Linked DNA regions of Drosophila melanogaster. The protein of the gene in region 2 purifies or fractionates together with the protein of the main gene of each other region. This does not show direct contact. Each region holds a gene or a part of one and is shown on either strand. Other genes may lie near its edges.

The links.
Region 1: the proteins of bel (region 2) and vig purify together in Drosophila melanogaster (affinity purification with western blotting, with the first as the bait; one study listed by BioGRID). This does not show direct contact.
Region 3: the proteins of bel (region 2) and Cap-D2 purify together in Drosophila melanogaster (affinity purification with western blotting, with the first as the bait; one study listed by BioGRID). This does not show direct contact.

The regions. Positions count from the first base shown.
Region 1 is NT_033779.5:15,062,518-15,073,576, forward strand, and holds vig (vasa intronic gene), read right to left. Parts: upstream 7,800-11,059; 5' UTR 7,629-7,799; intron 7,580-7,628; coding exon of another isoform or gene 6,517-7,579; intron 6,354-6,516; coding exon of another isoform or gene 5,966-6,353; intron 5,913-5,965; coding exon of another isoform or gene 5,889-5,912; exon of another isoform or gene 5,865-5,888; intron 5,562-5,864; exon of another isoform or gene 5,399-5,561; intron 5,173-5,398; 5' UTR 5,111-5,172; coding exon 4,420-5,110; intron 2,940-4,419; coding exon 2,673-2,939; intron 2,432-2,672; coding exon 1,917-2,431; 3' UTR 414-1,916; downstream 1-413. Other genes in the region: solo (sisters on the loose), read left to right, coding at 5,889-5,912, 5,966-6,353, 6,517-7,579, 7,906-9,526; vas (vasa), read left to right, coding at 5,889-5,912, 5,966-6,353, 9,821-10,110, 10,170-10,913, 10,972-11,059.
Region 2 is NT_033777.3:8,654,203-8,665,582, reverse strand, and holds bel (belle), read left to right. Parts: upstream 1-4,821; 5' UTR 4,822-5,575; coding exon 5,576-5,620; intron 5,621-7,195; coding exon 7,196-7,568; intron 7,569-7,739; coding exon 7,740-9,605; intron 9,606-9,676; coding exon 9,677-9,798; 3' UTR 9,799-10,608; downstream 10,609-11,380. Other genes in the region: CG8032 (uncharacterized protein), read right to left, coding at 1-146, 834-1,100; p (pink), read left to right, coding at 1,857-1,940, 2,023-2,523, 2,602-4,497. UniProt on the Drosophila melanogaster protein: ATP-dependent RNA helicase that is essential and required for cellular function, larval growth, and for male and female fertility.
Region 3 is NT_033777.3:29,672,012-29,682,184, reverse strand, and holds Cap-D2 (CAP-D2 condensin subunit), read right to left. Parts: upstream 6,535-10,173; 5' UTR 6,456-6,534; coding exon 6,329-6,455; intron 6,252-6,328; coding exon 5,780-6,251; intron 5,720-5,779; coding exon 4,824-5,719; intron 4,764-4,823; coding exon 4,622-4,763; intron 4,567-4,621; coding exon 4,479-4,566; intron 4,425-4,478; coding exon 2,007-4,424; 3' UTR 1,928-2,006; downstream 1-1,927. Other genes in the region: CG7582 (uncharacterized protein), read left to right, coding at 319-339, 889-1,058, 1,121-1,694; Bub3, read left to right, coding at 6,877-7,068, 7,122-7,910; ppk19 (pickpocket 19), read right to left, coding at 7,962-8,205, 8,263-8,452, 8,502-8,631, 8,693-8,845, 8,911-9,729; Obp99a (Odorant-binding protein 99a), read right to left, coding at 9,973-10,173.

The DNA.
Region 1 (11,059 bases), on a different chromosome or scaffold from region 2:
TTGTCCTATTCGGCTTTCTCATTCTGGGTTATGTCCAATTTTTTTTTTTTTGCTTTTCCGCATATTTGTTGGCTTTTCTGTTCTGTCTATTCTATCTTTCGCCTTGTGTTTGTGTGCAACTTTGTTTTATGTGTTTGCCAATTTGTAACACTTGCATTCCATCTAAAAACTTACCGTTAAAAGTATAAGAACAAGCACAACAAAGAATTCATTCATTGTAGGTTTTCGTGAATAAAATTGAGAATACTGCATTAGATTTGTTTAGGTTTCGTTTCATTCCGTAATTCTTTCCGTCTCCACTTACCATTCGCTTTATGATCTTTTGTAACTCCTCGAATTACATCTTGCTCTTTCATGAACTTTTTCATTCTTTTTTGCCCCAAAATTTTCAAACTTACATCAAGTGTTTTTTTGGTTCTTTATTTTTATCAAATAAATGTTCTTGTTTTATGTTTAAACGAGTTGCTCAACATTTGTTGAATGGTTTCTTTGGGTCAAAATACAATACAATATTTCAAAAAATGTCGTATATTTTTTCATCTACGTTTTCCTCCATATTCATTTGCTCTATCATTTCTTTGCTTTGTGTGTTTGTTTCGCCGTCATAAAATTGATTTTACCATGTATGTACGAATATATATCTCATATAATTTACATAGTTTCTAGTTAATTGTAGGCAAACGATTTTACAGGGATCTTCAAATTAGCGTTTTCGGGAGTGGTTCTCTCATATGACTCGAAATGGATATTTTTGAAAGTTTCCCTCCAACTATAATCTACTTATTAAAGGTTTCTAATTTGCTCCAATAGTTAATCAATATTTTTTGTTTTTATTTCTTTAATAATGCTTAAATTAATATTGTTTTGTTTTTGTATTTCCGTGTGTGTGTGTAAGTTCAGTTAGGTATTTATAATTAAAAGTAGTATATATGATGCATAGTCCTCTGTTTAATTATTAAATTTAAATGTTTAATCATAGAATTTGCATCCAAGAAACACAGTTACAAAGGTTTTAACACTTACTATTCTTTCGGTTTTGGGTTTCTTTCACGATCCACTGATTTTTATATTTCTCCCTTTTGTTTTTCTTTATTTTAAATAAACGTTAACATAGTAAAAATAATAAAGCGTACATTTCGCTACGAAAAGTTGATTCGTAATTGAACAAAAAAATTTATGAGTAATGAAAATGCTTTTACTGTTCTCTCGATGAAAACAAACTATTGTAATAGTGTATTTTTCTTCTTTACAAAGAAGAATTTATCAGGCCGTGATGTTGAATATTATATATTTTATCTTTAGTTTATTTTATTCGCCTTGATCACTGGTTAGCGACTGTAATTTGTTTTTATAAGGTAGGATGATTTTTTGATTAGGTGAGTGGTAATAACATAAAAATAAACAACTTCACATCAGGTTTTGGTTGATGCAATAAAACAATTTCCATGACCGCCCCTGCCGTTTTAGAAAAAATCTCGAAACAAATCTCGTATTGTGAACAGCTACTAGATATAAAGTCCATAATGAGGATAACTTAGCCTGACACTGACTAGTTTACACGAGGTCACTTGCTTGATCGCGATTTTATCGTGTAAAATCTGATTTAGTTGGCCACGTATAAACTAAAATTGCTTTTCGTGTGTTCTCTTTTCATATATCTTTAAACATATGTATAATTTATTATCCGTTTTTTTTTACTTAGCTTGTTGGTTGGTATTTTTGTTGCTTTTGGCTTATAATGGCGGCTACAATTGTTTTCGTAATTTCCCCATTTTTCTTTTAGTTTTTAAAAAGTTTGTTGTCTGTGATATACGTAATTTATAAGTTTTCATTTTGGTAACTTGCTGCTTTCATTCACCATCGTCAGTAACCAAAACTGCAATTTGAGGAACCTACTCCTGCCCAAAACGATCGATTTAAGCCAGAGTGGGAAACTGACGCTCATCGTTGACCTTGGGAGCGGTGTTCTGTTGTCGCTCAAAACGCTTATTCGGCCCTGGACCGCTGTTCTGATTGTTGTTCTGGTTGTTTCCCGGACCGCGACGATCGATGGGTGGCCTTTGATTTTGAGCGGATGAACCGCCGCCCTCGTTATTATGCTGCTGGCCATCCCGTGGGCCACGGTTTCCACCCTCACGATTATCTCGGCCGCCCTCACGATTGCCGCCATCGCGGTTGCCACCCTCGCTGCGTGGTCCGCCTCCAAATCCACCGGGTCTGGGGCCTCCACGGCCACCGCGTCCACCGAAACCGCCAGGTCCGCCACGACGACCATCGTTGAAATTGAACTGAATGTCCAGGACGCGCTGTTGCCTGCCCACACGCTGTGGATAAAGGGCAGGGTCGTACTCGAGCTCCTCTTCGCTGTCGTTCTCCTTCTTCTTGTTGCTAGTTAGGACGACCATTTTCTTCCATTGTGTGGTGTCCTCACCTGCGGGAAATATTGATTGTAGATTAATTTCTAGATGATAGGCCATCATTTAGAGTTAAGCTAAGATCGGTTTGATTTTCAATTTTATACTTCTTTTATACGGATTTTAGCTCAATATGATTTGTAACTTTGGTTGTTGGCTTGGCGAAAAGGTTTCTTAGAATAACGGAAGTTAAACTATCATTCCGTGGTATCGAATTCAAATTATTAACCATAAAAAAATTATGCATTGTTCACGCACCTTCTCCAGCCTTGCGGATATTAAAGGTTGGCTTGATGCGCTGTCCTTGCTGTGCCTTCCACTCGTCCAAGGTCAGCTCTTTGGCTTCCTCCTCGGCGGTAGCCTGCTCGTTTTGTGGTTCAGTGCCAGATTCATCGGCCTTGGCGCCGCCCTCGGCATTGGTCACATTGGTTTCGCTTTCGTTCTTGTTCACATCATCAATAGCCTCCTTGACCGATCCCCAGTTGTGGGAGCCAGCTCCATCGCGTTTGTCAATTGACTTCACACCTGTGCATAAAGAAAGTATCAAATATTAATAATGATTTATGTCTGCTTAAATTCAGAAACGTCAAGAAGCGGAAAATCTGAGCTTCTATATTTGCAAATTTTAGCCACAGCTATAGTGCAACTTGCCTGCAAGCCCTAAAGTAAGTTTTTCTGCTTAATTTATTAACTGAATACTTTAATTATTAGCCAAATAATGGTCTATTTTATCAATACCCCACTAATTAGGTCAATTGAGAAGTAACCACGATAGGGGGACTATATTCACTGCCCTCGCTCGCATAGTCACAGATAAGCCGACAGTAGCAGCCCCAGTTCACTGTAATCAGATTCAGTGGGGGAACTATTCCAACCCCTGTTTCCCCCCAATGATTATGCCTGCAAAGGCCTCCTACAAGCACTTGCGTTAGACGGGAATGCCGCCAAGAAGATGGGCGAACTATTTTTAACACATTTTCTCTTTCGATTTGTGCCGCAGTGCTTCTTGTTTCTGTTGCTGCCGGCCGCTGTGATATTATAATTTTGGATATTCCAAAAACGAAGCGGTCGGTCTAAGCAGGCAGTGGAAAACGGGGGAAAACGCGGCGAAATAGATTTCATTCAATGGAAAGAAGTGTGATGTAGCTTGTTGAATGTTCTGTCCGACCATTAGTATTGATTTGACTCACTTATCCCCCACGTGAGTGGGAGATTTGCCTGTGTTGTTTGACCATTGCCCATAAGTTCATCGGGATTTTGTGTGCCACAAATTGGTTTACACCGTTCTCCCGCACTTTTCGTGAAATTGCTTGGCATAAACAATATATATTTAAACTGATTTATAATGCAACTGTTTAAATATTACTATCCATTAAATAAGATTGGCAATCTGCTCGGAGCAGGCTAATAAATATTTTATACTTTGAAATACATTAAATTCATGATTTAGATTAGCTATAGAAATCTTAAATCAATTGATGGAAATTTCACATAGTTTATTAAAAGGAATCGCATTTCAAACACCGAACGAATTCCAGTTTCTTTTAAATATTTGTTGTGTACACAGAAGATTGGAATCATGTTGCTTGAAGGCGACTAATAATTTCTCATGACTATAAACATGGTAATTGGTTACGCGTAAACTGTGGATGGAATTTGTTTTTCCTGCGTTGCCTGCTGAGTTTTATTTTCTGGTTGTCATGGAGTGTGGCTTTTGGTTTATTTGTTAATTTTTTCGTATGGGCGCGCTCGTTTTATGGTTATGTCTACCCCTTGGTGGTTCAACTTTAGTTTCGATCTTATCAACAGAAACATTAACTATTCATATGCGAAAAAATGGTCATTAATCTAAACGATTTACTCCCTAAATATCCCATCTTCTCTATCCTTTTTACTAAGTATACTTCTCTGTAAAGACTTTAATGTGATCTACACTGTATCTACTTGACTTGACCCCTAACCCATTTGGTACCTTAATGCCTTAATGAAATGACCACACACTCACCAGTTCTATCGGAACCCGACTGGCGGTCGAACTCGCGCTTCCTGTTCTGGCCATCGTAGTTGCGGTTCTGACGCTGGGGACGATCTCCGCCAGCACCTGGGCCTCCACCTGGTCCGCGGTAAGGTCGCGACTGCTGGCCATCGGGTGCTCCGACGTTTTCGCGGACATTGCGGCGATTGTTGCGCTGCTCACGAGTCTCGGCATTGCCATTCTGTTGACGGAAGTTTACGCTGCGCTGCTGCTGGCCACCTTGTCCTTGACCCTGTCCTTGACCGCTACCAAATTCACGTGTTCGGTTGGCGCCACCTCCTTGCCGTGGAGCACCCTGTTGTTTGTAATTGCTGCTGGCGTTATTATTGAACTGCTGCTGTTTGTTGTCGGCCGATGGAGTGAACTTCTTGCCATCGGTTTTGTTTAACGCATTATTGGGCTTGTTCTCCTTTTCGGCCTGATTTGGTTTCTTGGCATTGGGTCCACCAATATTGGATCCTGCGTTCGCCTTGTTATTGCTGTTGGCCACCTTGTTGGCGGTCGTTTTGGTGGCCGCTGCAGCAGCAGCTGACGGTTGCTTCTTCTTGCCAGCTGCTGCTGCGGCAGCAGCGGCCGTCGGCGCCACAAGATTATCTAATGGATCGCTGACATCGTCGTCCATGAACAAAAGTTCATAACGATTTTTACCGGCGCTGTCCATGATTTTGTGGGTGGGTGTGTTTTTCGTTGCTAGCTGGCTGCCGCTTTAATTGCCTTTTTGCTCTGTAAAAAGAAATAAATACACACAGTTTTAGTGGGAATTGATTGATTTTCCTTTTTCGCCCGCCGCCTCTCACACCCTGTGAGATTCGATAGGATTTCTTTTTCGTGTCACAAACTATGGTCTAATATGGCATATATTCGCTGGATTTATGGTTTACGACATTAACACGTGGACTAACGTGAATTTACTCAATTTATTTAGGCCCTTTGGGTGGATTTTTCTTACTTTTCTGCTGGCTGTTTGGTGGCTGCTGCTCTCTAACCTTAATTTTCAGTGTTTCTTCTTCGCCTCGCTGCTAGTATTACCTACACACACTGCCTCACGCGATTCCACACGCACATGGGCCAAATCACGCACACCACAGTCAGCACGAACAGAGCGCCCACATGTGTTCTTGGTATACATAGAAAAACAGAAACTCACGTTTTTCAACGCGTTTCGCGGCGAATGTCGCAAATCGATTCGAATGGCAGCTGTGTTTAGCGGGCTCTCGATTTGGCGGGCACTTTTTAGTTTGAAGTGCAAGCCAATTTCATTAGTTGGAGAATATGTGAAAAATTGAGCAAATTATATAAATTGGTACAAAATGTTGGAGCATATATTATAAGAATTCATAATTCAATACTTTAGAAATGAACGTATTAAGTTATTGCTTTTATACTTATATAGAATTAATTTTTTTTTCTTTCAGCCAAATTAAAAAAAAAATATCAATATGTCTGACGACTGGGATGATGAGGTTCGTATTGCTTCGTACAAAGAATATATGCTTACTAAGCCTATCTATTTTAGCCCATTGTTGATACTCGCGGCGCCCGCGGTGGAGATTGGAGCGATGATGAGGACACGGCCAAGAGCTTCAGCGGCGAAGCTGAAGGCGATGGTGTTGGAGGGAGCGGTGGTGAAGGCGGCGGCTACCAAGGAGGAAATCGAGATGTGTTCGGAAGGATCGGCGGAGGCAGAGGAGGAGGAGCTGGAGGTTATCGAGGAGGAAATCGAGATGGAGGGGGCTTCCACGGTGGACGTCGCGAGGGAGAAAGGGACTTCCGCGGTGGAGAAGGCGGCTTCCGCGGTGGACAAGGCGGCTCCCGCGGTGGACAAGGCGGCTCCCGCGGGGGACAAGGCGGCTTCCGTGGTGGAGAAGGCGGCTTCCGCGGTCGGCTGTACGAAAACGAGGATGGTGAGTAAACCTTTTGGACGACATGTTAAATTTTGGGTTATGGTCATTTGAGTCATTCCTGCTGAATTCCATGTGGTGTGCTTTGTTTTGTCAAGTAGTTTGTTTTCTTTTGTTTTGTGTATGCATATTTGCCCAATTGGTGGCAAATTGGCCAACATTCTAGCTAAGGAACTGCCGCCGATCCCATCTAGCTGCGATAAGGATGAGGTGGGCGCATTCATCGATCAGCTGGACTTGAGCAAGTACACGACCAGCCTAGCACTGATTCGAAAATTGCGTGACTACTTGCTGACTGCATTTAAGGCTTTGGTGAACCAAGCATGGGCTTCTCTCGAGAAATTAGCTCAAGAAAAGCGTGCACAAAAGGCACATCAGATACGCGAAACAACAGATATGATGAATCGCCTTATGGAGGACATGGGCCGATTGATTCGTGAAGGTGAACATGAGGAAGCAAATGGGATTGGGATGGGATTTCAAAGCATTGATGCGGATTGCAGAGCTGATTTGTCGCAATGGAGGAATTTACAGCAAGTTGTGATGCCGCAATCTTCGGAGATCAGAGATGGACAAACAAACAGGACAAGCGGTACTGAGGGCGGTCGATCAGGAGGTTTAACCGATGGCGATGACTTAACCGAAATACAAAGCGCCGCATACGCCGTGTATCATCAGGTTTTGGATCGAGGTTACCAAACGGGTCGACGGCTGTATGATGATAATCAAGGAGCATTGAGAGAAGATTCTATTCCAACAGAAGACCGAGAACACCCAGAAAATAATCAAGTGGATGGATCAACATATGGAGTGACTAGATTTCTGCACTGGCTAAGTGAGAACTTTGTCACTCGGCATGAAATAAGGGCCGTACGTTTTGGCAGTCCGCATATGGTTTTTCAATCTTATGACTGGCCAGAGTCTCCAAAGCAGCACATTTCGACGGTCCATCAAAAAGGCATATTTTATTCTCAGCCCTTAATTAGGACACGCATAATAGCCACTGTTGCGAGCGAGCCAAACAATTCGAGTAGTGGTCAGCTCAGCAGTATGGTAAACTTGGCACGACATCAGCGGTCGCAAAATCAGGAAACGCCAGATGGAATTTACGTTAGTCGCTACAATGCAACTGGAGATGAGGAGACTCCCTGCTCCGCAACCGGAGTCCCCGGCAGAGTTGTGGCTCTGCGTGCTTCGAGCACCCCAAATGAACATAGGAGCGATCCAGGGTACTTAAACCAACTCTAACTAGTCTAGTCTAGCGCTTTTCTTTCTTACCATCTATGGATACTTTTTATTCCCTTTTTCCAATGAGCGGTTGTGTAGAAAAGAGCAGATTTCAAACATTTAAAGATTACATAAAAGAAAAAAAAAAACACCAAATTTAGCCAGACACCGAAACAATTTATAGGAAATTTGATTAGAGAAGTACCTTAATGCAGTATAAATTCAGCTTACTTTTCTATATGTACATATTTTCCATCTCTTCGCTTACTTTCGTTTCCTTCTCTATAACTTAAATGAACACATAAGCTAAGTAATGTCCGTTTCACAGCTTGTCTTTTATACCCAATTTGACTTACGAAGATGGGACCATACCATCATTGGCAGCAGGCGGCGCTGCATCGACACCGTTGGCTCCATCACTGCCAGCAGAGCATTCATTGGGGTTAGAAATGGATAGCAACACTTTGGTGGTACCAGCTGATGCGGATGAAACCCGCTTAGTCGGACATCCAGGATCAACAGTGGTTCGTTCTCGGCTTGGAGGCCCTCCAGCATCAACACCTTTACTATCATTCCGACCTAGACTGCCGGTCATTGACGAAGAGCATCATCTACGCTTTACCAGGGTGTCACGCGAGCTGCAAATGAGTGTTGCTTTCCCGCCGGAAGAGACAACACTAAGCGAGCAACGTGAGTGGGGCTCGATTTTCCGACCACGTGATGAAATGGTTAACTATGCCGAAGGTCCACCTCCTCGCCAAACACAAAGGGCGCGTCGTCGCTCGCGTACACGCAGACGACGTAATCGTATCGCTTCAGCTGCCAGCCCGCAACTAACACCGGAACGAATTGTCCGTCGCGAGGAAGCCTTCCAAAGCAGCCGACATATTGCAGCCACTTTTATGTCCAGCTTGCTACAAAATGCAGCTGGAGAAGTGACGACGTCTTCAGGTCTGGCAGTAACCCGTTCAGTGAAAGAAATAACGACATCAGTCCATATCACCCGAAATGTACTACAAGAGGAGGTACCACCGACCACAGAAGCAACGACGACCTCCCTAGAAGTTGCACAGGCAACAGGGTATTCGGATTCTGGGGCTTGTATGCAATCTGCAGCGTTCTCTCAAGATCTTCCTGTAGTAGCTCCCTTGGAGATATCTGGAAATGCATCAAGTGACCAAGCATCATTTGATCAAGCTTTGGCCTTACTGCCTCCCATAAATTCCACTCCAATAGGTCAGCATCCAATTGCTGTTTTCGGACCTAAAACCGAAATTGAAATTAAACCCCAAAAAATGGACATCTCTAATATGATGAATACATCGGTTCCACCAATGCCAATGGAAGTCGACGAAGTTCCACTGGAGGTATCAAACACTTTGGCCAATATGAGCGATCACGCTTATGTGACTGATATACAGATACTACCGTCGTTGCAACTCAATTCTTTGAATCTTGTTAGCACCAATATTACAGACAATGCAGTAAATATCGCCCCATCGACATCAACAAATGATTTGCAAACGCCAAGTGACCGCAGAACATCAATGCAAAATCAACTATATCGAGTGTCCATGAACGATTTGGCATATATTTCACAACACGCTAATGTGGTTCGTCTGATGGTAGATCGTCAAGAGGAACTAGGGGCACAGGTCAGCTCCCTGGGGCCTTTTAAGGAAAATAGCCAAGGCGCGCTAAATTTTAGTACAATGCCCGCTGTCAAAGTCTACGATCCACGTATAATTCAGAACATTCAGAAGGATAAGATGAGAGTAGTTCATGGGCTCTTCGGTGCTCTTATCAGACAGTCCCAGGTTGATATGCACAATGCACCATTCATCCGAAATCGCAAGGATGCGTTGATGGCATATCGCTTTTTACTCGAGCTTAAGACTGCAAATATTATAAGTCTTAGCTCGGATGGTAGATTTTTCGGGCTGCTCTAATCAAATAAAAAGCATTTTAATTTTAAAAATACAAAAAAAATTTAATATTAGTTTGCTTAAATAATTTAATAAAGTTGAACGTGGTATTAGAATCATCGCCATTTCTTATTATTCGTTGACATTAAATTGTTATATTGTCCGTGATTAGCTAATAAATTGGTACAGAAACAGTATTAAAATAAAATACACAATTTAAAAATGAATTTTAGTTTTGGTTATGAATTTTTATGAACTGTATTTCGTCTGCTTAAATTTAAGTGAATAAAATTGTTATGAAAATCAAATATTTTCTAGGTGATGAACGTCGTGGAAGACTAGATCGGGAGGAACGCGGCGGTGAACGTCGTGGAAGACTAGATCGGGAGGAACGCGGCGGTGAACGTGGTGAAAGAGGGGACGGTGGTTTTGCGAGGCGCCGTCGAAATGAAGATGATATAAATAATAATAATAATATCGTCGAAGATGTCGAAAGGAAGCGAGAGTTTTATATTCCTCCCGAGCCGTCCAACGATGCAATTGAGATATTCAGCAGTGGCATAGCTTCCGGGATTCATTTTTCGAAATACAACAACATACCGGTTAAGGTAACAAAATGCAATTTATATTAAAAGATCTTCAATCGGTATAAATCATATTTCTTTAGGTGACCGGCAGCGATGTTCCACAACCTATACAACATTTTACGAGCGCTGATTTGAGAGATATTATTATAGACAATGTAAACAAATCTGGATACAAAATACCGACACCAATTCAAAAGTGTTCCATACCAGTAATATCCTCTGGTCGAGACCTAATGGCGTGTGCCCAGACGGGTTCTGGAAAAACGGCAGCTTTTTTGTTGCCCATTTTGAGCAAGTTGTTGGAGGATCCCCATGAACTGGAGCTTGGAAGACCCCAGGTAGTGATTGTATCCCCAACAAGGGAGCTGGCAATTCAGATCTTTAACGAGGCGAGGAAGTTTGCTTTCGAGTCATATCTAAAGATCGGTATTGTTTACGGAGGCACCTCGTTCAGACATCAAAACGAGTGCATTACCAGAGGCTGCCATGTAGTGATCGCCACTCCGGGACGACTTCTGGATTTCGTGGATCGGACCTTTATCACGTTTGAAGACACTCGATTCGTTGTGCTGGATGAGGCCGATCGCATGCTAGATATGGGTTTCTCAGAAGACATGCGAAGAATCATGACGCATGTAACTATGCGTCCAGAACATCAGACATTGATGTTTTCCGCCACGTTTCCAGAAGAAATCCAAAGAATGGCCGGCGAATTCCTTAAAAATTACGTTTTCGTCGCCATTGGCATTGTAGGCGGAGCTTGCTCTGATGTGAAGCAGACCATATACGAAGTTAATAAGTACGCCAAGCGATCCAAGCTAATAGTAAGTGGTCCTACAAATTAAAGCCCAACACCAATTTGTTATATTCTATTCTCTTTAGGAAATCCTTTCCGAGCAAGCAGATGGCACCATTGTGTTTGTGGAGACAAAGCGTGGCGCCGACTTTTTAGCTTCCTTCCTGTCAGAAA
Region 2 (11,380 bases):
AAAGGCACCTGGTGCCCGTCCTCCGTGGTGGCCACCACCTTGTGCGGTTTCGGTACGTTGACCACGCTGACTAGACCATGTTGTACGGCCAGCTCAAAGATGGGATTGCCCAGAACGCCGTGTATCCAGTTGGCGCCAAGTTCTATCTGTGAAATAGAAGTGTTTAAATAGGAACATCTCAGATAAGTAGGCAAAGCTTAACATTTAACTTTCTAGTATAAAAAAGATAAGAACTGACCTATATTAGATAATTTAGGGGCGTAATTAGTACATGTGAAGTGAAACAATGTGGAAAACTGGAAAAATAATAAATTTTTCAGTCCCATAACTAAGACTACGTGATCGTTAGCCCGCAAACCCGTGAGTTTTTCAGGGCATTGCACTAGATACGTCATCATTGGCTTAATTCAGAAAACCCCTATCTAATCTGACAAACGTTGCCGAAGAAAGTTGTATAACAAATTTCTTGATAAGGTGCCGCCAAACCGATCAAAACTATGCTAATGAACGGAATGAAAATCGTGAGTAAGATTCACGACAGATGCAATTACATTAATTACCCCCATGTAAGCATATGTAACAAATAAAGCTAACAATAGGCAAATAGAGGGAACAGGAACATGTATAAAAATAGCTTTAATGAAAAGCGTGAACAGCTGACCGACTGCGCAGTCCGTGGAAAAATCTATAATCAACTGGCTGGGGCGAAGAATGTGTTACAACATGCTCGTGGTTTTTCCGAGTCGGAAGTGTTTTTCCTTTAATACCATATGGTCGCCTATGATGGTTTGTTTTGGTTTTTGGACTTGAGGGGGTTATATAACAAATGGTACCTTCTGATTATTGCTGAGCGGTATGGACACAATGCGTCCGCCCACCCGGCCCCGTGCCTCCAGAATAAGGAAATCGTCACAGCCGTTTTGCAAAAGGTGATTTGCAGCCGATAGGCCAGCCATTCCAGCTCCAATGATCACGATCTTAACGTTGGTATTATTCCCTGAAGTTTGCGGCTGATCCCCGGCTCCAGCAGACCCAATATTGGCCATACCCTCCTCCGTGGGCGAGGGAGCGGGTGTTACGGGCTCCTCCTTGTCGCCCATTGCTACACTTTGGCTTCTATGTACATAAGCGTTTTAATTGCGGATACCCGGTGTTTATTTGTTATTTTTCTAGTATCTTTCACGCCGCATTTCAATTTTTCTGCAGGTTTTTTCGCTTGGCGAGTCGCGCGACTGTTTTGACGTTTACTTGACAGTAGGTTTATGGGTTGGGGGAGGTAGCAGCGAACAGCTGTTCGGCTGGGTGGTAAATATCCAATTTTTTTTAGTAAACATTGTGTAATAATAGTTTTATTTTTATGTATGGGAGTTTGATAAGCGATTTTTTCAGAAAAACGTATTTTAATTGAAAGTTTGAAGGATAAGTTTTACGACAGCTGCTGGTCGCAGTATTGCCAGACTTGAAGCTTATAAGGGTAAACAAGCCAGCTGTCATTTTACAGCACTAAATGTATCGATACTTTAACGTCTGTGATTTCATGAAACTTTTGATTTTAATATACATTTCAAATTGAAGATTTGAATTGTTTTAATTAAGACACTAACAAGTTTATTACAAAGTATTTGAAATAAAAAGTAATCGCTCTAATCACACTCCACTTGTTATCGACCACCTGCCAGCACTAACAGAGCTGCCAGACAGTTCCAACGACCTATGTACACGAATTACTCGTCGCGCTGATAAAAACATAATTTTTGTAAATAAATGCATGCGATGTGCAATGCAATAACGTAATCGCGATTTCAAAGCGAGCTATGTGATTAACGAACGCTTCGGACAACGAAAAAGCCCACAAGATGGCCGACGCCTACTGCCTGACGAACTTTATTGATTTTTCGCTGTCGCTGTCGCTGCCGCTGAAACACCACAATCGCATCAAGGTGAGAGCAAGTCAATCCAATTGAGTCTCACCCGCAATTTGATAGCAGACCATTCACTAATGCACGCCCTTCCTCCCTTCAGTACACCTGCTTCGACATCTCCGACAGCTATATCATTTTCGGTGCCTCATCCGGATCGCTGTATCTGTTCAATCGGAACGGCAAGTTTCTGCTCTTGATACCAAACAAGCATGGAGCGATCACCAGCCTCAGCATATCGGCAAATAGCAAATATGTGGCTTTTGCAACGCAACGTTCGCTCATCTGTGTTTATGCCGTGAATTTGTCCGCGCAGGCCACGCCGCAGGTGATCTTTACGCACCTGGACCAGTCGGTGCAGGTTACATGCATCCACTGGACGCAGGACGAGAAGCAGTTCTACTATGGCGACTCTCGCGGACAAGTCAGCCTCGTGCTGCTCTCCTCGTTCATCGGACACAGTCTGCTGTTCAACATGACAGTGCATCCGCTGCTCTACCTGGACTCTCCGATCGTCCAAATTGATGATTTTGAGTACCTGCTGCTGGTGTCCAATTGCACCAAGTGCATTCTGTGCAACACTGAGTACGAGGATTACAAACAAGTGCGTTTGTGCGCTGGTGGCTAAGCCAATCTGATCACATACAATCGATAAACTTTTACCTCATGTCATATTTTTCAGATTGGTAACCGTCCGCGGGATGGAGCCTTTGGCGCCTGCTTTTTCGTCTCGCCGCAGGAGTCTTTGCAGCCATCTCGTATCTACTGCGCCCGACCAGGCAGTCGCGTGTGGGAGGTGGACTTTGAGGGCGAGGTGATACAGACGCACCAGTTCAAGACGGCCCTAGCCACCGCACCGGCAAGGATTCAGCGACCTGGTAGCGGAACAGACGAACTGGACGCCAATGCCGAGCTGCTGGACTATCAGCCGCAGAATCTGCAGTTCGCAAAGGTACAAAGGTTGAACGATGACTTTCTGCTGGCCTTTACAGAGCTGGGACTATATATATTTGATATTCGACGATCGGCGGTGGTGCTGTGGTCCAATCAGTTCGAGAGAATCGCCGACTGCCGCTCCTCGGGATCGGAGATCTTTGTGTTTACGCAGTCTGGCGCACTTTATAGTGTCCAGCTGCAGACGCTGCAATCCCACGCAGTTTCTCTTATACAACAATCCAAATTGCTGCCTTGCGCAAATCTACTACGCCAGCATGTCCGATATTTTGCGGACAAGGCTCGCGAGGATTACGAACTTAAACAGCTCAATCCGCTGAAACAACTACTCATCGAGCGGCAGGAGTACGAGCTGTTGAACGATATATCCGTGATATTTGATGCCATAACTCAGTGCACAGGCAGTGCTTTGGATACGCACAGCTCGGGAGGCAGTTCAGCCACCACTGAACGCAGTTTGAGCGGCGGAAGTTCATCGAGAGCTCCGCCGAAGGGAGTGTACGTGCTGGAAAACGCATTCTGCGACAACTTGAAGCAGCCTCTCAAAACGGGACACTTCAAGGATGCGCTGCTGACGGTAACTGGTAAATTCGGCAAGAACATCATAAAATACAAGTTCAATATTTTTGCCGAGGAACAGCAGCAGTTGGTCAGGGAACTAATTCCAGCCAGCGAGCGTTCTCTGCCGTTCAAGGACATCAAAGCACGCTACGAGTCGGGAAGCGAGGATCAGGAGGAGGAAATTGTTAGGCGCTGTAAGAAACCGGCTCCCCAGGTTCCCCACATCAGTCCCGAGGAGAAGACTCTTTACAACCTCTACCTGATCGCCAAGAGCGCCAAGTTTAGCCGGACGCAGTGCGTCGATCGTTATCGCGCTGTCTTCGACGAGTATGCAGCTGGCGAGCTGGTGAATCTGCTCGAGAAACTAGCCCAGGTGATGGTAGAGCATGGGGATACGCCTGACCAAGCGCAACGCAATTGCTACGAGATGTATTTCGATTACCTGGATCCGGAGATGATCTGGGAAGTGGACGACGCTACGCGGGATCACATAGCTGCCGGATTTGTGCTGCTAAATACTTCGCAAAATGCGGAGATTGTCAAGTGTGAGCATTGCTCGTTCCCCCTTCGCTTCGATACCTCCTGCCAGTATCATGAGCTTGGAGCAGTGCTCCTGCGATACTTCTGGTCCCGTGGCGAGCAACTGAAGTGCTTTGATGTTGTTCAATCAGTGCCGGCACTATTAGACGTCTTAGCTAAATTTTACCTAGCCGAACAGAATCTCACCAAAGTGGTGGCCATCGTCCTCAACTACGGACTCCCCGAACTTCTGGCTGACGTGGGCAAACAACTGAGCGTGAGCGCATGGGGCCGCTGCTTCGAACAGTTCGTGGAACTGCAACGCGGCGGACGACTGGTGTGCGCCAACTGCGAGTGCATATCTGGCGTGGAACAGGAACAGTTGGGACGCCACTTCTTCTACAACTGGAACTGTTTCCTCAACATCGCTCTGGATCACATGTCCGCCGGGGACACGCTGGCGCTGATCTTCAAGTGGAGCTCATACATTCCAAACGACGCTATCGACCGGGAGTTCTACTCCCGCTGCCTGCTCAAGGGCTGAACGATATGAAAATTATTATTATATACATATATACGATACTTTATAGCCATATTTATTGTTCCACTAACTAATCTCAAGCTAAGGCCAATACCAAAAGCATTTATTCTATATAAACATGTACATTCACAATATGTATATTCTGAAGACGAAAGTGAATGAATATATTCCAGAGTTCGAAACTTCGAATTTTAGTTTTCTTTAACAGACTTGGAGGGAACTTGAGTATGGAATTGTTTGGAAATTTTTAATACCTATTTTACGGCAATCACATATATATACTAAATTTCAAATTTAATTTGAATTTCTTTGACTTTTGCTTCAAATAACGAAATGGGGTACAGCGGCTGACGCCTTATAAACAACTATTCCTAAACATAAACACAAACATTTTTGGCCTTTAAGAAACAAAATTTAACTGCCCAGCCTCATTTCTCTTCCATTCAAAAAACAACAACAGCCTAGAAGGGATCGACGCGCCGAAAAAGCAAAAGTGAAAAAATTCAATTTGAATTTCATAGACCGCGAGACGAGGATATAGATCTGGCAACGCCCTTGCCGGAGTCTTTGCCAGTAACCGCCGCCGAGAGCCCAGGTTGGAGTCTCTGCTCTACCTCCACCGACCGCATCTATCGATTCCTCATCGATATACGTGCTAAAGCAGCCCTGATTTTTTAGACACGCGTCTGAAAGCGGAAAAAAACGTGAACTCGTCGGAGAAGCAGCATTTTCCAAGCCCATAGCGCTTGTAATTGTAATTGTTGGCACAAGCAGGCCAGCCAAATCCGATACGGAAACGTCTCAGTTTCAAGCCGAACAAAGGGAATTGTGTGCGAGGAACGAAAAGAACCCTGAAATTTCACACGAGAACGCAGTAGCTTGTGGAACGTAAGAAGTTTTTTGTCGGAAAAACTAAGGAAAAACGTATAGACACAAAGTGCAACACCAACACAACGATCGTATACATTTTTTTGTCGCAAATTGCAAGTGTGCATTCAAAAAAAAAAATTCAAAGCGTAACCATTGCAAAATTTTCCTAAACGGAAAGCAAGAAAAAAAAAGCAACTGATTGGAGGATAATATGAGTAATGCTATTAACCAAAATGGCACAGGTCTAGAGCAGCAAGTAAGTAGCGTTTTTAACTGCTGAAAATACCATTTACCATCTATATAAGAATGGAACACGCATGTGTATGCGGTGGCTGTGTGTGTGTGTTCGTGATGCTCATGCGGCTATTTGAAAAAGTTCGCCTAGAAATTTATTGATTTCATAACACACTAATGTCTCTATCGCTCGTTTTACAACGGTGAATTGTGTCGGTGTCAATGGCTTGCATATATGTGCGTGTGTGTGTGCGCCTGGGTCCCTCTTCGTCATTCCAATTTGTAATTTCTTTTGTATAATTTTTGCTCGCTTGCCTCCAATTTGACATGTATAATATATACATATGAAAGTTTCCATTCGGCCTCTCACGTTGAGTGTGTCGTGTGTGCGAGCAGTGCCGCTGTTCTAAGGCTGGTCGTGTGTGTGTGTTATATCTCGCTCTCTCTCGCTTGCTCACACATGTGGAAGCTGTTGTAAATAGGGTTGCCAGGAGTAAGCGATCTGGTGATTAATTTCAAGGGTGATTTGGCAAAAAAAAATGGAAGAAAAGCAAAGCATGTAATCTACATACACTATTTTAACAAGCCTTTGTTAGGTCCTTAAAAAGAATTAAACTTTATTAGAGATGTGAAATAAACAAACGTTAATGCTTTCAAATGGAAATAGTTTAGTTAAATACTACTATTTCTGTATGCCTCAAATGCACGCAATGAATCTAGCAACGATCTAGCCGTTAAGTGACGCCCCACAAAATCTGCGAATTACATATTTAGCTGCCTTTGTTAATTAATATAAATGAAGAAGGCAAAATATTGAATATTACAAGATATACGGGAATAATAATCATTGTATACATTTAAACTAGTTCTTGAAAGAGTTCCCTTGCTTTCATCACCATTCTGTCCACTTGGGTCCCGCAACCGGGCTTTGTGTTTTGCCCCTACGGTGCGATTTGTTTTCCCATGTGTGGGTGGCTCGTTCACGTGTTGTTTTTGTTGGGTTACCAGGCGGACTCTCTTTGTGTAATAGCTTGCCTGCGAGTGCGAGAGAGACGCTTACAGGGAGAGCACTAAATTCGAAGCTTTAAACTAGTTGCGCCTCTCTCTATCTGTGTATTCCGGAGATTTGCACGTACATACATATGTATCTATGTATATATACACGTTGCGTTGCTAAGAGGAAGAGCGGTAAATAGCACATGTTGCTAAGCGGGAACGAATTCATTTTGGCAGTTCTGGAGAAAATTTCCCCGGCGAATCTTTTGCCAAACTGTTGAACTTGATTCTTGAACTGGTGCCGGCTAACTTACAGGCAACATATGTTAATTGGCCATGTGTACTATAAATCAATTGTATTAGTGGAGCAAAGATTATTTGTGTAGCTTAGTTTTGCATTGCTGGTATAGATCTTATCATTAAATGCACTGTGTTCCCGTAAACTTGGTATATAACAAAGAAAAGTAATCTTAAACCAATGATTAAGTACAAAAAAAATAGAACAAAACCTATAATTTAAGTGTTAGGAAACCACATTTGATGCCACATTTTTTGCACAAGTTCTGAAGAAGACTAACCATTTAATCTTTATCACTTGCAGGTTGCTGGTCTGGACTTGAATGGCGGCTCTGCTGACTACAGCGGCCCCATAACCAGCAAGACTTCCACTAACTCGGTCACCGGTGGTGTGTATGTGCCCCCGCACCTTCGTGGTGGTGGTGGCAATAACAACGCAGCGGACGCAGAGAGCCAGGGCCAAGGACAGGGCCAGGGTCAGGGCTTCGACTCCAGATCCGGGAATCCGCGCCAGGAGACTAGGGACCCTCAACAGTCGCGCGGAGGCGGAGGCGAATACCGCAGAGGCGGCGGCGGTGGTGGTCGCGGCTTCAATCGCCAGAGCGGCGACTACGGTTACGGAAGCGGCGGCGGAGGACGACGTGGAGGCGGTGGACGTTTCGAGGACAACTACAACGGTGGGTACTATTGGCTAACAGGTGGTCTATTCACTATCAAGAAGCACAAGGACATTTAATTAATTTTTACAGCTCCATAATGTAATGATCCTTAAAATCGTAATGCGTACGACTTATACTTGGTCCTCTAATATGCCCATATTATTAGAGAAAATGTAATTACTTTTGCAGGTGGTGAATTCGATTCGCGTCGCGGCGGTGACTGGAATCGCAGCGGCGGAGGCGGCGGAGGAGGTCGAGGATTTGGACGCGGACCATCGTACCGCGGCGGTGGCGGCGGAAGCGGTAGCAACCTCAACGAGCAGACTGCCGAGGATGGCCAGGCACAGCAGCAGCAGCAGCCGCGCAACGATCGTTGGCAGGAGCCAGAACGTCCTGCCGGATTCGATGGCAGCGAGGGCGGACAGTCTGCCGGCGGCAACAGAAGCTACAACAATCGCGGCGAGCGCGGAGGCGGCGGTTACAACAGCCGCTGGAAGGAGGGCGGCGGCTCAAACGTCGACTACACAAAGCTGGGCGCCCGAGATGAGCGCCTGGAGGTGGAGCTGTTCGGCGTGGGCAATACGGGAATCAATTTTGACAAATACGAGGATATACCCGTGGAGGCGACGGGCCAGAATGTGCCCCCGAACATCACATCGTTCGATGATGTGCAGCTGACGGAGATTATCCGCAACAACGTGGCCTTAGCACGTTATGACAAACCGACACCGGTGCAGAAGCACGCCATTCCGATCATTATCAATGGCCGGGATCTAATGGCCTGCGCCCAGACTGGATCCGGCAAGACGGCCGCCTTCCTGGTGCCGATTCTCAACCAGATGTACGAGCTGGGACATGTGCCCCCGCCGCAAAGCACCCGGCAGTACAGCCGGCGCAAGCAGTATCCGTTGGGTCTGGTGCTGGCGCCGACCCGCGAACTGGCCACCCAGATCTTTGAGGAGGCCAAGAAGTTCGCCTATCGCTCCCGGATGCGCCCGGCAGTGCTGTACGGCGGAAACAATACTAGCGAGCAGATGCGCGAGCTGGACCGCGGTTGCCATCTGATTGTGGCCACACCCGGTCGCCTAGAGGACATGATCACACGCGGAAAGGTGGGACTGGAGAACATTCGATTCCTTGTACTGGATGAGGCTGATCGTATGTTGGACATGGGTTTCGAGCCGCAGATCCGTCGCATCGTCGAACAGCTAAACATGCCGCCAACCGGACAGCGCCAGACGCTTATGTTCTCGGCCACATTCCCCAAGCAGATCCAGGAGTTAGCCAGCGATTTCCTCAGCAACTACATTTTCTTGGCCGTTGGTCGTGTGGGCTCCACATCTGAGAACATTACGCAGACAATCCTGTGGGTCTATGAACCCGACAAGCGCTCGTATCTGCTGGATCTGCTCTCGTCTATCCGCGATGGCCCCGAATACACCAAAGACAGCCTAACACTGATCTTTGTGGAGACTAAGAAGGGTGCAGACTCGCTGGAGGAGTTCCTGTACCAGTGCAATCATCCCGTCACTAGCATCCACGGTGATCGCACGCAGAAGGAGCGCGAGGAGGCACTGCGCTGCTTCCGATCGGGCGACTGCCCCATCCTGGTGGCCACAGCCGTGGCCGCTCGTGGCCTGGACATTCCGCACGTTAAGCACGTTATTAACTTTGACCTGCCCTCGGATGTGGAGGAGTATGTCCACCGTATCGGGCGTACCGGACGTATGGGTAATCTTGGTGTGGCCACCTCCTTTTTCAACGAAAAGAACCGCAACATTTGCTCCGATCTCTTGGAGCTGCTGATCGAAACGAAGCAGGAGATCCCCAGTTTCATGGAGGATATGAGTTCGGATCGCGGACATGGCGGAGCCAAGCGGGCTGGACGAGGCGGTGGTGGACGTTATGGTGGCGGCTTCGGCTCCAGGGATTACCGTCAAAGCTCTGGCGGCGGCGGTGGCGGACGCAGTGGACCGCCACCACGTAGCGGTGGTTCCGGATCAGGAGGCGGCGGCGGCAGTTACCGCAGCAATGGAAACTCGTACGGTAAGTTTGGTGAGTGTGGAATCATCCATCAGCAGTAATCAGTTTAAAGGCAGAAACTTAACAGTGGATTTCCTTTACAGGCGGCAATTCGGGCGGCGGTGGATACTATGGCGGCGGCGCCGGTGGTGGCTCCTATGGCGGCTCCTACGGCGGCGGCAGTGCCTCGCACTCTTCGAACGCACCCGACTGGTGGGCTCAATGAGCAAGGCCTCAGCTTCAGGCAAAGGACCTGGGCCAGCAGCAGCAGCAGCATCAGCAGTCGCATCGTAGCCACTTTCGCAAATAACCAAACGGAGTAAAACAAAGTCGATAACAACTATATATGTGTACACACGTATACTATATAGGAACAGCAAATGTGAAAGAGAAACTGTCTGTGCGCAGCGCAACACAAATCACGAAAATACAGAAAAGATACACAGATGCACCCTCCACCCCACCCTCGTTTAGCAATTCACTCCTCTCTCACAACCTCAAAAACCAGGAGCAAGCGTTAATAATAAACTGTGCAAGTCCATCGCGAAAGTATATTACATTCATGTATAGCCAGCCCAAGCCGCCCTCCATTTCCATCTCACCCATCATTATATTTTATGAATTCGATGCGCGTAGTTGAAGGATATGCAAGCAAACACATACATATTTAAAATATGCTAAACAACCACAAATATTAAGAATATTTAAGCAAATGATAAAATTTTTGAATTTTTGTCCATAAGTTACAATTCTCACACATCATTTTTCTTGGAACTCTTAATATACATATATATATATATATATATATGTATTCTTATATATATATATATATATATCTAGACATAAATATTGTCAATGTCGGATCGAAACGATGAAAGCGCAAATCCTTGAACTTCAATTGATGATTTTAAACGAAGAAAACATAAAAATAGTAATGGTATATATATTATTAAATATATAGATCGAGATAGAATGTACTATATGAAACAAGAAACCAACACAAACAAGTAATTAAAACAAAAAAAAAACAAGTTTGCTAAACTAAAGCTTAATAATTTAGCAAATGAGAAAAAGAACTCGCATGGTTGTTTTTAATTTTTTCTGCATTTGGTGTAACAGGTGATTTTTTTGGGATTGGCAGATCGTGTCCGATAACGCTGTAAAGCACCAACGTTTACTAATTCCTTGGCGCCCTATTATCTTTTCATAAATATGTTCAATTAAGATTTATTTACTTACTGATATCACTTTTTGAGTTAGCTCCATTGATAAGAATTGGCAAGTTGCCTGTTCTTTGGTTTTAGTTCAGTACGCTTTTCGAACCAATACGTTTCGATGTAAGAGATCATTGGATTTTCAACCGCGACGAGCTGCTGGCCATATTATCAAAATAATTAAGGAGTGGAATATCCATAGGATAGGTTAGTAACCTTTAGGAGCTTCTCAGATGAGAGCTTTGTCGCCGGTTTCCCAGCGGCAAAGCTTCAATTATGCACATTTAAGCAATCAGTATAATTGAATGTTCGAAACGTGGGGAGCGAGAATGTAAGTAGGAAATGCATCAAATAGTGCCGAGGATGTGACGATCGTGGCGATGCCTACCCGTTTGCTAATTAGATTAGATAGGGCAAGTTGATTAGTTTGCTCTGATGTTTTCTAAAGAGGGGAGCTTGTCGATTTGTCGTTGTTTGTTTGCCAGATAAATTTGCTTGAACAGCAAAGCTCTACGCTTCTTGATCGCTGGATTTTGAAATAATAAACAGCGTGGGCGCTTGACTAGGCCACACCCCGTTTTATTATTATTTTCG
Region 3 (10,173 bases), about 21 Mb from region 2:
TATCTGTGGGATATCCGTATCTGCAGAATGCTGCATATGCTGCACACCACATGTCCGGCTGAAAACTTTTCACTCTCCAGCAATCGGAAACTTTTCAGTCCAGCGAATCGAAAATGTATATGATACGCCTCAGTTTATTGACGTTGGCCGACCGTGCGCAACGTGTTCTTTTTCCATTGTTTTCATTTTCGGGGGGGCACTGTATAGTTTTGTTTATTTTCCATTCCGCGCTCGCATCGTGTGAAAGTGCAGCTTGGCTGGCTCGGATTTTTTTTTAACCCTCTCTAATAGTTGTAATTTGCACTAATTACGGCCGCAATGAACGATTTCGGGCAGTTCGTAAGTAGCGCAGGTTCTGGAATTCAGGAATCTCACGGTCTTAAGCTTCATTGATAATATAGAAATTATGCGAAATATGTATATGTGTGCATTGCGGATGCTCTATCTAAACGCAGAAAGTGGAACCAAGACGCAGCACACAAAGCTTCGTCCTTGACCTTGCACATCTCTCGGTTCTCCGGACGGGCGCACTTCGAAAGCTCCTGCATTGAAAGCGAAAGTTTGAAGGACCACTCGAGTGCCGCCCACCACCCGAGCCCATTAGACCCCCCCTTAATAATTCCATGCAAAGCCCATTTATGTTTGGTGACGAGGTTCCGTCGAGCCAACCCCAAGAACCAACCCTAATCTAATCTGCCCCCCGAAACGGTTCGATTTCCCTAATCACTTGATTTGGCTGTAGTTTGGACCTCCGTGGCTCGATTTGTTATAATCGTTTAAGCTATTTTAAGACCAGGCAACATGTTAAGCCTCGTAATCATATTAAGATAATTATTGTAAATACTTAAAGCAATATATTTAAAATTATGTACTATGTATCGATTATAGGCTAAGTCGCAAGGCCCAAAGTTGGTGCCATTCCTGGTTACTATTGTCCTATACTTCTCGCTGGTGAGGAAGGATCCTCAAGGAGAGCTATGGACCACCGTGCTCAAATGCCTGCCCATTTTCGCGCTTGTATTCTATGTGGTGGCCAAGGGAATCTCGCTCAAGAAGGAGTAAGCTTTATAGCATCGAAATACTATATACTACTTACTTATTAACAAGAAATTTTTAACAGATACCGTCGCTCACTTTGGATTCTATTGGGTCTGGTTTTCTCGAGTGGTGGTGATGCTCTGCTCAACATAAATCTCTTTCCCTTCGGAATGATCTCCTTTGGAGTGGCGCACGTGTTTTATATCAGCGCCTTTGGCTGGAAGCCCATAAAGTGGTTCATTGGACTGCTCTTGTACGTGGCCGTATCGCTTTGTAAGTTTACTGGTCATTATATACGTATACCTTACCTGGAATATTTGAAACCCCCAGTTGTTTACTTCGTGCACACGAAACTGGACGAGATTCTCATCATCGGAGTGCCCATCTACTGTTTCCTGATCACCACAATGCTGTGGAGATCGCTGGCCCGCGCCGTGGACTCCAGGAACTTCCTCGCCGTGTTCTGTGCCATCGGAGCCATTCTGTTTGTGATCTCCGACGCCCTGATCGCGGTCACCATGTTCGTGGGCGTGCCCCTGCCCTGCGCCCGCCTCCAGATCATGATCACCTACTACGCCGCCCAGTTTGCCATTGCGCTGAGCACCGCGGACGACGGTCCTGCCCTCCAGCGCTCCCTTCGCAAGAAAATTAAGTGAAGCCAGTGCCCAGTGCTCATCTGTCGGAGGCCCAGAGACAACATGAACGCAACCACCAAACTTAGTACTTCCAAAGCGTCTAGAGTATTGCCATTTACGTGTGTTGGTTTCCCCATCCCAGTAGCTTAGTGCAACCAAATATTTGTTCCCTTTCTGATGGATGTGGAAACGGATCTTAGTAGTTTACTAGATGTTTGTTGACTTCAAAGTAATAAATATATCAATAATAGGTTCTATTAACTATTTTATTAAAAACCATCTTTGTACATCATTAAAAACCCGCTCAGATCGTAACTTAAGATGGAGCACGAACTAGTCGCTGCTGCTGGAACTGAAGCTCTCTTCTGAGGTGGAATCCCGGCGAGCACGTCTTCCGCGTCCTCGCACAGTATTGTTCCTGTTGGCCGCCGGCTTGCGACCACCCTTCTTTGTCCTTGGCGCCGCTCTGGTTCTGTTGCCCTGACCTTCTGGAGTGCTTTCTTGATCACCCTGGGCAGCGGTATCCGGGTTGACTTGCAGGCACTCGTTCAGTCGGTTCTCGAACTCGGTGACTACAGCTTTGAGCTCCGGCTTGGCCAACTTGTTGGTGTTGCTAATGATGAGCTTGAAGGACTGATAAACCTCGTCCACCTGGACCTTGTCCCTGTAGTGCTGCATATTGTCCATTAGCTTCTTCACAGCTCGCTCGTTGTAGGTGAGCAGGCCGAGGCAGTAGGCGATGTCGCGCCATTGACGCTCCACCCGCGTTACCGGGAAGCGCAGACACAGCTTCTCCACTAGCGTCTCAATCTGGCGATCCTTCTGGATGAGACCCAGGATATAGGACATGATAATGCGGTACTTGTCCTCATCCAGGTTGAGGTTTATGTCCCCCAAACGGGAGATGATATCTGGCAGGACGTTGTACAGAATGTTCGACTTGTTGGCTATCTCCTTGAAGAACTGCTTGGTGATATTGCGAATCTCCTCGTTGCCGTCCACAATGCAAAGTGCCATGTCGGCGATTTGACCCTTGACGCGTATCATCTCGTTGAGGATCAGATGAGATAGCATTTTGACGGCAGTTAGCCTTAACTCGGTGTTCGATTCGTGCAGCTGAGCGTAGAAGTGCCCCGTCCACGGCTCGATGATGTTTGGGAAACGGAAAGTGAGATCCGACAGCCCCACCACCGTGTTGCACTTGATTCGAATGTTCTTCGTTAGGTTGAGGATGTTCATCAAAAAGCTCATGTTGGACTCGCAGAAACGGGAGGAGACGGTCATGAGCCGGGCCAGAGCCAAAGTAGCGGCCTGTTGCAACGTGGGATCACCAAACTCACCTGGACGCTTGCAAATCTCTATGATAAATGGCGCCAGCTTGGAGAGCAGAGCATCCGGGTTGTAAAGCAGCATGTCCTCGCAGATGCCGTGGATTTCCTCGGCGATGTTGTCCTCTGCAGTCGCTCCCACCAGATCGTCGTCTGGCTCCTGCTGTGGTTCCGCTGCCACTCCGGACAGCCTCTTGCGCACCTCCATCGCTGACATATTAAGCGTAAGTCTGGCCGCATTATGTGAACTTCCCGCCTGCTGATTGCGGTTTTTACGCTCTTCAAGAGCCGTCAGCTCGTCGCGATACTTCATGTTATTATAGATATCCATGTCGAGAAAGATCATCTCCTTGATGGTCATGTAGCCGATGCAAAAGATTAAGCGGGAGACGAGATACACGGGAATCAAGGTGCCTTGCATCTGCGATTGGCTATCAGCTTGAGTCTGAGTGGGAGTAAGGGTCTGCGAATGCGGAATCTCCAAGGGCTGCGAGTCCGGAACAGTTTCCGTATCCGCTTTGTCTGGAGAGGGAACTATTGCAGCCGCTTCCTTGACCAGCCAGCTCTCATTGAATTGCTTGAGTAAAGCCGTCACCAGTTGCTGCGCAATCACATCCGGCGCCTGGCACATCCTATAGAAGTATTCAAAAACACTCATGGCCAGTGCGTCGAAGTCGTATAGACTTCTGTGGAAAAAGAAGTCGAGGAAGAGCCGCGTGATCTTTCCCACGAATTCTGCATCGCTGTTCTGACGCTTATAATACTTGGCAGTGTTGTTTGCATCGATTGAGTTGACCAGCAGCTGCAGACAGGAGGTAAATATCCGTGGATCCCGACGCACCCGCTCTCCGACGGCGATATCCTCGATGATGGCAGTGTTGGCCGAAACAATACTAGACTTCGATTGCGAGGCCATTATCAGGAGCTGGAGCGACAGGCGAGATTCGTTGGATGTAGTGCCCTCCAGTTTTAGCGTGAAGCGCTCAAAGAGCACCTGGATGACAGCAGCATCGATGTCGCCACCCAACACCCACTCGGTCATCAGCGACTCCAAGGCCGTGTAGTGACCATACTCGATTTCCGAAAGAAACTTCGACAGGTTCTGCACCACCTTAATGGCATGAGCGCGACCCGTTTGGTCCGTGGAGAACAGAACGCGCTTGTAGGCATCCGACACTGCATCTCGTTTCTCCTTGTCCGAAGACCAGACCAGTTGCAGCATTCTCTGCATTCCCGACTCCGTGCCGTGAATTCCGAACATGTACCCGGTGGTGAACAAGTCCACCGCCTCAAAAACATCCGTGTTTGTCTTGGACATGAGCATCTCGTGCAGTTTGGGGAAGGCTGAAGTCATCAAGACGGCAAAGTCAATGCTGTCTTTTAGGAACTGCACCGTTTTGATTTGCTGCAGCATTTCCTCGCTCTAAATTAAAAGATTTGGTTAGAAGGGAATATAACTTTCTAAGATTAAACATACGCTCTGTTTAAATCCAGCAGCCAGCAGGTGATATGTCTTTAGCAAGGCCAGCACATACACGCAATGCTCCTCGTGCTTCAGTAAGGAACTGGAAAGTAAATATATTTATGGTAAAACAAAACCATCTTTGATTAGCAACATACCTCATATTCTGATTTCCCGCCAAAAAGTCTACCTTTCGCACTAGAACAATAACATCCTTGTAGTTCTTTTCGCGCATCAGCGGAATGATCCGCTCCATCAAGGTCTCGTCGCTCTCCTCCTTGTCGAACTGCATATCGGGAACTGTAATATAACAATAAACTTTAATATATACGTCGAACTAGCGGAACTGCATGAACTCACACTCCGTAAGGTTCTCCTCTATGAAAGGCAGCAGTTCGGGCGCCAAGCTGCTAAACTCGTCGTTGAGCTTCTCCTCCTGCTTGCGCTCTTCCTCGAGTACCTCATTAAGTTTCTCCATTGCCTGCACCTCGTGTTCATGCTTGGCACGGAGTTCATCTATGGAAAGCTTACTGCTGTATGGATTGCTTTCCAGGGCGGATTTGATCAGATGCATGGCGGCACGCCGCACCAGCGAGCTCTTGTCTTCCAACCTTCCGATGGCTTCCTCCAGCACTCTGGTCAGGAAGTTAAGCGGAATGGCGTGCTGGGTTTTCAGGTGATGCCAGATACTGAGCACCTTGGAGCGCACGTGTGCAGAAATGTCTAGGATGTGGGCCATTAGGTGCTCGAGGAACTCATTGCGTACTTCCTTCAGTTCTTCGCTAAGATCCTCCGAGGTCAGTTCGCTAACCACGGTGTCGCCGATGATCTGGAGCACACAATTTCGCAGCGTGTGAGACTGACAATCTAGTAAATCTTCCGCCAGCTTTTCCAGGTGCGGTACGATCAGCGAAGGTGCTATGTTCGAGAACTCGGCCAGGAAATTGGAGAAGTGTTTGGACACCGAAGAGTCAGAACTGTCCATCCTTAGAGCATCCACAATGCTCTTGATTAGAATGGAGAAGACCGAAGAAATTCCGTACTCCTCGTGCAGAAGCAAAATTCCAGCTGCTACTGAATGGGCTGCATGCTCGGTACCGCGTAGGATCTGCAGAATGCGCACCGGGAAGGTCATGGCCTGGTTAAAGCGCTTGATCGATGTGCCCAAGATCTGGAAGATCGTGTCGAATACGTGTTTGTTGTCCATGCGAAGCGGCAAAAGTTCGATTGTTCGATAGCAGGGGTCGCAGAGCAAACTGGGGAAGATGGATACATTGCAGATCGAAGAAATAGGATGCTAAATGCTTTGCTCTTACTTTATAAAGTCCTCCTCGGCTACGGGCGGACTCCAGAGCTTCTCCAGCGGGCACTGCAGCACGTTGAAGAGCTGCACCAAGAACTTGCCGCGCTTAACCTCCCAGTTGGGAAACTGCTCCAATCCCTCCGATGGCTTGGCACGCTTCTTCTGAACATTGAGCTGCTGATCCCGCATGGCCTGCTGGACACTGTTGTTGATCTTCTTGACGGTGCTCACCTGGAGGAACAGCGTCATTTTGGTCAGGTTGAGGTAACTATTGCGCTGCTGGTTAGACATGGGCTCACTGGCCGTCAGCAGGGGCTGCAAGTCTTGGAACAGTTTCTCCACGGTCAGGTAGAGCAGGTCAAAGGACCTCATTAGATTCTGTGCAGAGGCGCCATCTGAACCGCGGGCCTCGATGATCGAGTAATACAAGTCGAAGTGCTCGAATATATAAAAAGGATCGCCCAAGTGCACTTTGCGCTTGCATTCTGGGAAGGAAACATGAAGATTGCGCGTCCGAAAACTGTACTCAATTTAAAAACCAACCGCGAAAACGGAAACTTACCTTGTAGTTTCGCGGGAATCTCCTGGGCGCCAAAAATCTCCTTCACGTAATACTGATCTCCGCTGGAGTTGATCAGATCAGATGCATTCAGGGGAAGGACGAACTGGAAGTCGTGCGATTCCTCCATGGCGGTTATTACTCCTATTTACCGCGAAATAATAATTGTATCTTCTGAATTGAGTGGCGTCGCTTATAGAGATGGGCAGATTCGCCGCCAAATCGATCGCTTGATATCGGTTATCGGTTACTGCTGACTGCAAGCTTACAATGCTCATAATGAGAGGGTGTATTTATCAGATAGATACTTACCACAAAAACTAAATTTATATTGGTTTAACAGGGGTTTGTAAAATTTTTTACATTATTAAAAGTGTACCTGTTTAGGGAGTCCCCTTGATGCAAATATGCAATGTATCGATAGTGATATCGAAATACTCGCATCTCTTCTCCAGACGCCGTGCAAATTCGGAGTTTGATTTGTTTTAAGCAGTTTCTGTTTGAATTTATTGTTTTATTATCCACAAGTTGCTAGCAGAAAACTTGACAAAATGCGTCCCCCAGAGTTCAAGCTTAACAATCCGCCGGAGGACCTGATCTCCGCTGTGAAATTCGGCCCCAAATCGAATCAATACATGGCGGCGTCTTCTTGGGACGGAACACTTAGATTCTATGATGTGCCGGCAAACCAGCTGCGTCAGAAATTCGTGCAGGATGCCCCTCTTCTCGACTGTGCCTTCATGGTGAGACTCCTTCGTACACATTAACAATCCCCTATTCAACCAACGATCCGCAGGACATAGTGCACGTGGTCAGTGGCTCCCTGGACAACCAGCTGCGTCTCTTTGATGTCAACACCCAGGCGGAAAGCATAATTGGTGCCCACGAGGAGCCCATCAGATGCGTGGAGCACGCCGAGTATGTCAATGGCATCCTCACGGGTAGCTGGGACAATACCGTGAAGCTGTGGGACATGCGGGAGAAGCGCTGCGTTGGAACCTTCGAACAGAACAACGGAAAGGTGTACTCCATGTCCGTGATCGACGAAAAGATCGTGGTGGCCACCTCCGACCGCAAGGTGCTCATCTGGGACCTTCGCAAGATGGACAGCTACATCATGAAGCGGGAGTCCTCGCTCAAGTACCAGACCCGCTGCATTCGTCTATTCCCCAACAAAGAAGGCTACGTGATGTCCTCCATCGAGGGACGGGTGGCAGTGGAGTACCTGGATCACGATCCTGAGGTGCAGCGCCGCAAGTTCGCTTTCAAGTGCCACCGGAATAGGGAGCAGAATATCGAACAGATCTACCCCGTTAATGCCTTGAGTTTCCACAATGTCTATCAGACGTTCGCCACTGGCGGATCCGATGGCATTGTGAACATTTGGGATGGCTTCAACAAGAAGCGCCTTTGTCAGTTCCACGAATACGATACCTCCATATCCACGCTCAACTTCAGCTCCGATGGCAGCGCCCTGGCCATCGGCTGCTCCTACTTGGACCAACTGCCAGAGACGCCGGCTACAGTGCCACATCCGGCTATCTATATACGCTATCCCACGGACCAGGAAACTAAACAGAAATAATGTTATATATACTTGTTTACGGCAAAGTTTTACATCATTTTTTAAAGTAAGCTACTTAGTATACTCTTTCAATTTTATGCGCGCATCTCTGATGAAACCCCACATCAGTTTTCCCAGCACAAATAAAAGCTCTATAAAACTCATGACGGAGGCCCCTATATACAGACTTATGATCCCGCCAAAGTTGGCCAGTAAATCTATATTGGTGTACTTGAGTTTCGTAATGATTTTGGTCATGACACGTTGGCCATAATAAACCTGGGCTTTTATCAATTGATCTGTCGAGTTTTTTGGGCTAAAAGAGAGGGGAATTTAATTATCTGTTCTTTAAGAATATATACATTGAACTTACTAATCCAATTTGCGCACATTAAGTGACATTTCGTACAGCCGTGAATTGCAATTGTCTGGGCAATCACAAAAGTGACCCTGTCGTGAGTCGTTAATGTATTTCTCCTGATCACCCATCTTCACGTAAGTGAATATATCGGAATTGTTGCCCAAGCATTGTGCATCGTTGATTCCACATTCCGGAACTCCATCTAAAAAAAAAAAAAATTTAAAATGTAATAGAATAATTACGATAATTACCAATGGGAGGCAGAAAAGCTGGCAGCGAGCACTGGCAGGTCTTCCACACAACTAAGTGGAGGCACACCACCAGGCAGTTTTCGCGGTTATAAGTCAACGAAGTGTTCTGGAAGGTAGGGTTCTTTTCATCCTATGGAGTAAGGAATTATTATTATGATTATCTTTTCCTATTAGTTGCAAGCTATACACACATCAAAGTAGCAACGTCTTTTTTTGGGACTCATTTCATAGGTATTTGGAGAGGTTTCCGTGACCAGCGGATGCACAGCAACAAAGTTCTCCGTATCCGGGTACAGGTGGTACATCATTTCATTGGACCACTGGCGTGGTTCCTTAATCATGAGCTTAGTAACCAAAAAATAAAATTAAACAAAATATGAGCAAACTGTGACGCAACTAAGGGACTTACATTCATTCCAAATGGAGTCAGAGCGTCTATGTTGTTCATAAAGGAGTAGCTTGCATTGATCGTGAACTTCAGGCCCGAATCCTCGCCAGCGGTGCTCAGCTTGTGGGGATAGAACTGGTTAATCAGGTGCTTTTTGCGCGAGTTCTCCGAAATCATGGAGTTGAAGACCAAGCACTGGCCCTTCACCGTCTGCTCCCGTACGAAAAGTTTGCAGCAGTCGTAGGGAGTCTCATCGAAGACGCAGGAATCGGCGACGAAGAGTTCATCGCATCTATAGGTCATGAAGTTCATCAGGTCCGTCATTTTTAGATAACTAATTCCCGTCAGATTTCGTTTGGTCAGAATCCGTATCCGGTTAAAGTTGGAGAAGTTCATAATGTCCATACTGGCGAGTAGCTGGCGAAATGTTTCCCGGAGCTCGGCATTCGGATGACGTGGCAGAAAGCGGATAAATGCCGACGGAGCCCTCTGCCAGTTGAAATGATTCCAGGGGCAAACGGCCACAGCTGGAAAGTCGATGTGGTACACTGGCAACTGGGTGGTCTCTATCAGGCTGACCAGGAGCTGCTCGCTGTGGCGATGCATCAGCACGGTGTACAGACTGAATCCTGTGATCACCGCTCCCAGGACGATGGCGAGCCACAGGCAGCGCTGCCAGAGATGCTGCTCCCCGAAGACGTGCTGCATCCCATGGATGTTGGAGTGGGCAAAGGAGTTGCACAGTTTTTCCCGAAACTTAATACCACGCGGATTGTTCCTGAAGCGCAGTAGTCCTGGTCTCGGCCGCGGAATCACAAGTTCCTTGGTGTACAGCAACATGACGAATGGAAGTAGTTGGCCAAAGTTTTAGTTTAGTTTGGCTGCCTAAAAGCATATCCTCAATGTAATTGCTACTCGGAGTTGTTAATAAGTAAATTGAGGCCCCCATTGAAGAAGAAATATCTACATTCTGTTTTTCCCCACTGAATCGAGAAGGAATGCTCGAACTTGTATGGGAAATCAATTACTTTATTAACTAAACTAATGCTTATCGTTACATCCGTCCAACTAGGACCTAAGCCACTAGGCCTTCGGGGCCAGGCTCTTCTGGATCTGGGCCAGGTTCTCCTTCAGCAGACAGGTGGCTCCGCGGTAGGCCCACTCGCAGGCATTGGATCCCTGCTCGTTCTTGTCCACGCAGGCGGCCAAGGAGGCGTGGAAGGCCTCGTTGTGGTCAGCGTGGTTGCCCACCAGCTGTTGGTGGATGTTCTCCACGTTGAAACC